Drosophila melanogaster: one gene and its partner. The protein of the gene in region 1 interacts with the protein of each later gene in a pairwise test. Each region holds a gene or a part of one and is shown in the gene's direction. Other genes may lie near its edges.

Region 1 (3,329 bases):
GGGTCTCTCGGCAACAGGCAAAACTCCAACCATGAGTTGGCCACGACATTCTCGTCCTCCAGAGTGGGGATTCTCGCAGCTGTTGCATTCTGGGCCTAAACTGTGCGTCTACTCAACCACAAAACACACAAGTTCCACTCGGCGAAATCCTGCGATGAGGAGATGAGGAGGTGCCAATATATGGAGCTGCCACAAGGGGCATAGTGGAAGGGCGCCCCGAAAACTCGCAAAAGTTTGCTCCAAAGTCCAACATATGTTGCCTGTTCATGCATGCCCTCGTACTCCCCCTCTCTCCACGTCTCCCCTTCCAAATTCCTTGCCCTGCAGTCACTAAGTTAGTCATACAAATGGAGAAAATAGATGACAGAACCATGTTAAAATAATGGTATGAAATAGAGGTTGTAAAATCGCAAAAAAATCGATTCAAACATAGTTAAATCATTGATGAAATCTTATGATATTTAAACATAGACAATTTTCATTAATAACGAAGTCGCTTTTATTTCTTTAAGTGCACGACTTTCATACACATACGGCCATCCAGCACGTGTGCCAGTGTGTGTGTGCCAGTGTGTAATTATAACAAGTTTTCTAGGCAATTTTTCTGTTTTCCTTCTCGTTTTTCGCCCCAGAATCTCGCTAGTTCCCCCGTTCTTTTATTTTATTTTATTTTTTTGGGAACGCTTCTGTTGGGTATCTGAAGAGCAAGAAGTAAGTTTCTGATAAGAAAGTTATGATGAGTTTTCTTCACTCACACAGCGAGCAGAAGATGGCAGCACATGTACACACAGCTGTTGATTTTGGCCAAATTAGTGCAAACACGTCTTGTTTTGAGTTGTGGCCCATGTGGAACATGTGCAACTAATTTGCAGTTATCAAGAGTTCTGCCTTCGACGGGGTTGAACGGATGAGCTCGTGGTCAGATGTCTGTATCTAATCCATCTGTTGGGGCATTGATTTTGGCATCCCAGATACATGCCACCAAACCCAATCCACCCACCATTGTTAACAAATTTCCATTTCCGGTGGTGGCCACAAAAAGCGAAAGGTGTGCGGATGGGCTTTTTCGGGCGGAGTTGGAGCTCGGAAAACCCCGCTGGCCTGTCTGCCGACTGTCAAAAGTTTATTTATTTGACACCGAAAAAGTTGACACAGACACCAGGCCGGGGGCGTGACTTTGTGCCTGAATCGGATTTATATGCCTGGCCAAAATTGGATTACAATTGAGTTGTAATTATGCGACAACAAAACGTTGCGTTCGAGGGGATGCGGATCCTTTTTGGGGTCCTTTGGAGCTCACCGCCTCTGTGTTCTGTTTTCCATGTTGTCGGCAATTTGAGCCAAGCGCTTGCTCAACGACGTCTTTTGAAATTTCGCATTTTGCATTAATTAAAACTGATTTAATTAAAGCTTGTCGTGTTGCTTTTAAGTACTTCAGGAACCAGGATGAGAGTAACAGGTCCTCGAGCTAGGACATCCACTAGCGCATCCAATCCACCCCATGAAAATGATTGAAGCGAGAGACCAAAGTGTTCTGGACTTGTCTCCTGTCGCCCTCGCCAAAGATTCTTTGTCGTCTTTGAGTAGGTGAAAGTTTAATTAAATATGCATCGAGCGTACACAAGTATGTGTACTTGTGGGCCACATAGATCGCATAGATATTTCACCGGAAGTCCCCCAGTCGGATTATGTCGGAATTAGTTATCCAAATTTTTTGGTTATCTCTTATCTCTTGTACAATATTTCACATAATACCATTCCACAATTCAGCTTTATTTGTCTTGTCACATATTTCAGATGCTCAGGTCTCATTGAGATTTCTATCAATCGGTATTGTGTGCTACCGTGTCAGAAAAATATTAGTTATTCGAAATCCCCAACAGCAGCAGAACGTTTCGATCGAAATTTCAGTAAGAACAGCTTTAAAATATTCAAAATGAATCCATTTAGGCCAAATCCAGGTCAGAGTTTTCGCATTCGCTTGAATATGGATCGCGTGCCGGGCGAAGAAGAGCGCAATATACAGCCATCGACTGATGAACGTCGAATCACCCAAATTCCACCGATTCAATTGCGCATCGATCATCAGCGGGATGTGAATCGTTTCATGATCAATATGCGTGTAATGCTACATCGACGGAGGACGGAATTAAATATGGGAGGCGGCGATAGTATCGGCGTGTGGAACTGGAGGGAGCCTCCGATGCCAAGCGGTTTGATTGGCGAGGGCGATTGTGATGGCGGTGGCTATGGTAATTACGCTGGTGACTATCATCCACCATTGCGGGGACTGCCACCAAACCCCTAGGATCTGTACCTTCTCTTACCACACTTGCCATCACTGTCTTTTGCCTCTCCCCTTCCTGTGCGTGTGTGATGTCCTTTTTTTCATTTCTGAGCGTCGTCCGCAAAAAAGAAGAAAAATGTCATCATCAGCTAAAAGGCCCGAAACCCCAAACACAATCCACTACCACTTCCATTCTCATTGCCACCTGAACCAGTAACCCTTGGAGAAGAACGGACCCTGTTCGGACGCATGTTGTTCTATTATTATATCCCCGTTGAGTTCTGGGTTGATGATTTTTCCATCTCCCCAAGAAAATTGATGGGCTTTGGAATTGGAGGACATGCCGAGCCCCGGACGCATATAATAATTTCCTGTTCAATGAGCAATTATCGTAATAAAGATACAATTCCGCTACTCTATATTATATTCGGATACGGGGATGACAATGGTGGTCAGTGGGCAACGATGGTGGCCAAGAGGGGAACAAGCGCACTGACGACAACGATGATGATGATGACTGGTCTCTTCCGCACTGATGTGATGGATTGAGCCCCAGCTCAAGTCTGATTCCTGTCTGTCATGTCACTTTTTCCATGGGGTTAATGGGGGCGTGACAAACATACGGGAAAAGCGCACGGAAAGTTGATTGAACTGCACTAGTTAACTATTCCCCGAAATGACTAGCATGCCATTTCAATTCTAGATGAATTTGACCCCAATATAAGCACTTCATTTTACTTACTTCATCCTAAAATGAACTTCTCAATGAAAGCTTCTATTTTAATGCATTTATTCTGAAATTCGTACATACATAGATTGTAGACAAATCAGGATGCCAATTGAAACAGATTTTGCCCTCTCAGCTGTGACATTTGCATAATCAAAGAAAATTTCGAGCGCAGCCATAGGAACTTTAGTGGGTGTTTGACTTTCATTATAGCCTTCTAGCAGCTTTAGGACTTCCCAATCACTGAGACCAACTGGCAGGGACTCGAGAGTATCAATTCGGGTAGATAGATGCCGTCCTTTATTCTATTTATTC
Region 2 (3,987 bases), about 17 Mb from region 1:
TATAAACTTTGGCACATTGCGTATACGCCATGTGTGCGAGTGTCACTCGCAGTAATATTATCATACAGCATACACTGAGCATTCAGCAAGCGAACAAAATTTCAGGCGATATTCGCAATTAAAATCATTAAATGCTTAATAAACTTTGGAGATAATGACAATATTAGCGCAGTTTACTTTGCTCAATATATGGTTCCTTGTCGATATTCCATCCTTTTCGATAAGAGAACCCATGTTCTGCGCGTTTTTTCTTCGAGTGCTGAGGTGATACTAGATTGTCGTACCACACAAATTAACTGCGAGCACAATTGTTTTACACATTGTTGTCTGGGTTGTTGTCAAGACAGCAGCAGGGAAATGGAAATCTTTATGTGTGGATATGTGCCTTATGAACCCTTCGCTTAACCCCACTGCATCCCGGGGGTCTGTGTGCGTGCAAATGTGCGAGCTCAAAGTTGAATTTTCTTCAATTGACCTTTTAAAATCCTTTCCTTGTTGGTTCTTAATACAAGCACTTCTTGAATGCTGATTCGCTGACAAAAATGTTTTCTTATTTGTTTCAGGTGAGGGTTGCTTATGATGAAGAAGGCTACTTTCCTTTTAGGTAGATATCAAATTGTAAAAACTCAATTAAAGCAAACGGTAAGCAATGAAAATCCGTCTTAAAGATATCATCGAATCTAGAGATACAGCGGCTTTGGCCTGTTTGCCATTTGCGGTTGGCTGCACTGTAAGCTGACAATTGCAGCTCAAAAGCTCGAAAAGGAAAAGCGATACCAAGTGGGAAGAGCGGAAAACCCAGGGAGCATGGCTAAGGAAAGAGAGGTGGAGTTTTCCCCTCGAAACTAATGAAGTAAAAGCGAAGTAAAAGGGAGAAAGCCATAAACAAACGGCGCGAGCACGTGACTCAGCTCGTTTTTATTATTGTTACCAAGTTGCGCGACATAAATGTATAAAAGGTCCCAAAAAATACTTATTAATTGAAATAACGTTCTTCATTTATGTTTTTATCTCTTCATGCATCTTGTCCTCATTAGCTTAAATAAATTACAATCGGAATCAATTTAAATATACACTTGCTATACAGAAGTTTTTAAATATCTAATACATATTACAGTGAATAAATTAACAAAAGCTATCCAAATAATCAGTGTTATTATGAAATTGGTTTATGAAATTGGTTTAAAATTTGTTTTGATTTAATCAGTCATAATCTTTTAAATTTATTGAAGGTCTTGACATATGTTGATTGAACTCCGATTTTACTGCAATAGACCGCACTTCCTCTGCGGCGGTTCATTCCATTGTCGATTTGAAACTAAAGGAGTTGCCAGTGGGAGGTGGACGAAAGTAGTGGCGTGGGAGGGGGGTGGCCACAGGGAGTTTGCAGTCCTAGTCCGACTGTTGCCCTCTCCCTTGGAAGCGATTCCCCCTCCCCCCTTTTTACCCCTAGTTGCATTTCGTTGTTCTACAGAGGCAACTTGAGTTTTGTTTGTGTTTTGCTTTGTCTTGTATGTTGACACATTTTTCTTTCGCATTTTCTTTTTCAACTATGTATGCATGTGTGTGCGAAACCGGAAATTACAAATGCAACAAAATGTTCTCCAGAGTTTTGATAGCATTGTCTCAGTTGCAGTCTAGGAATCTCTTCTAAAGACGATAATTCCACGCTCGTGACTCCGTCATGGAACTCATTAAAAGAATCACATAATATTAACTTGAAACCGTTAGAAAAAAAAAATAAACAAGTAGTTTGTGAAATAAGTAATCAAAAGTTGATTTCATTTGTTCTAACCTTCTGTCATCAGTATAATTTTACGTCGAGACGTCAACAGTTCGACTCACACAGAATTATAATCACAAAAAAAAAAAACCGACATTTTCTTAAAAATTCCTAAATGGAGAACAACAATTGCGAGGGCGAGCAACCATCGACATCCGGTGCATTCTGTAGGTGCTCCGAGTCTGGCATTGGTATATCTGCCGTCCTGGATCTCGCTCAGTCGGAGTACTCCCTGGACACCACGCCGGAAGCTGTGATGGCGAGTGCATGTCGTCTGGAGAACGAGAACGATGGTAATGATACCGATGAGGAGGTGGAGATCTGCTTCACCAGCTTGATGCCCGATCACCGTAGGCGCTTGTATATGGACTGCAAGCTGTCTCTTCCGGCGGGCGGAAGAGTGCCCATGCGCGGCGGCGCAGAAGCCATTTCCGCTTCCCCACATGGCAGAATCAGTTCTCCGGAAATTCGCTATGAGCGGCTGAGAAATACTGCAGTCGAGGTGCGCAAATACTGGAGATTGCAGAAGCTGGACATGGCTTGTCCGCTGAGCAATTGCGACTTGATGTTCAATCCTGAGCAGCTCCTAAGTCACTGCCTGATGCACCACGAGCACATTATTACAATGGAAATGAAGCCCAAGGAGCCAAAGGTTCTGAAGCTGTGTGGAAAATCCTTGCCCGAGGACAGGGGCAAAAGCAACTGTGTGGGTCTGATGATCTACGAGAGTGGCAACAACGCGACCAGGAACTTAAATCTACCCAATATCTACAAGGACTGGGAGTGCCAATTGCCCGTCCTGATAATGCTGTGGAAGACTTCCTGGGACTCGATGCCCGTCGGACCGCGAGTGACCCATATCTATATTCTGTGGCTGTGCTGTCCCCAGGCCCAGACGCCTTTGTTGGTATCCGTGAATATCGGAGAAAACACTCCGGGAGTGCCACGTCGGCAGATGATTCAGACCTGTCAAGGCTCGGAGACCCTGAAGAATTGCGATCTGCTTTCGGACAGTCCGCATTTTATGCGATTCACACATCGCGAAATGAAGGAGCACACTGAAGACTACACGCTGGACGTCGACCTACAGTTCACCATTCTAGAGGATGAGGGTAGAGTGGGGCCCATATCGCCTAATCCTAATGAGGGCACCTTTCGCGAAGACGACATCGAAATAGAACTTGCGGAAAAGGAGAATACCTCCAAGGAGGAGGTATTTATTGGGAACTCAGAAGGGCCTCAAGCGAACTAAACGCAGTCTATCACAATGATTTTTGGAATGATTTTTCAAAATTATTTGCATTACTTTGATACTGTACCTAAAAATTGTTTCAAGTTTTTTTAAATTATTTTGGATCACTTTGTACTTGGACGAAATACCATATCTCATAAGCAATTCAACATATGCAATCTTGTAAATTTTCATCAAAATTGTATCAGTAAAGATCAAATTCCTTATTAGAACTAAAATTAAATTGTTATTAATTAATGCGATGACAAATTAGTTTGAAAGTGCCATTTACATCGTTCAATAGGTTTAAATAATTAATTGTTTAGTCGATAATAAAATAAAATAAATAATAGTTTCGAACTGCCATTAAATCGGCCCTTTGAGTTCAAACTTGTATGTATGGTATGTGTACATTTGAAAGTGCATCATAATGTTGAGTGTATTTGCAATTTTCTCGGTCAGACTGACAGCTTAATTTAATTATTCTTGAACACAAATGTTGTGGCAAACTCGCCCACTTAACCCGCTGTGTGTTTGCTTGGCCAAAAAGCTGTTCGCTGGAAATTTTTCGCTTACGCCGCAGCGTATGCAACATGTTTGCCATGTGGGGCAGGGGCGTCGTAAAAGAGGGGGACAAGGGCTGTTCGGTTTTGCTGTCCAGGTCGTTGGCAGCCATTAGCACAAATGTCGTCGCAAAAGGGGGCGTGGCGGGCAGAAGGAGGAGTAACTGCATCAACAACTTTTTAACCAACTTGCCAGCCCAGACTAACAAGACCGCAGAAATTGTGAACAGGGGTGTTGTGGAGAGGGGCCAAGGGGACTTGTGGCGGCAAACTAACTAACTCGATGCTTTTGCCTGGCACTTGTAATGTACCGTTATTGTTGCAACAGCACCGCCGGGGGTGGGCGGAGGTGGTTTTGGCTGCTTTGTCCGCGAAATACTTTTCTGTCCTTTTTATTCGGTTGCAAAAAA

The links.
Region 2: the proteins of CG15576 (region 1) and CG1314 interact in a two-hybrid assay, tested with the Drosophila melanogaster proteins (one large-scale study listed by BioGRID).

Annotation. Positions count from the first base shown.
Region 1 is NC_004354.4:4,251,246-4,254,574, reverse strand, and holds CG15576 (uncharacterized protein), read left to right. Parts: upstream 1-1,784; 5' UTR 1,785-1,936; coding exon 1,937-2,308; 3' UTR 2,309-2,705; downstream 2,706-3,329.
Region 2 is NC_004354.4:20,867,251-20,871,237, reverse strand, and holds CG1314 (uncharacterized protein), read left to right. Parts: upstream 1-1,840; 5' UTR 1,841-1,898; coding exon 1,899-3,035; 3' UTR 3,036-3,249; downstream 3,250-3,987.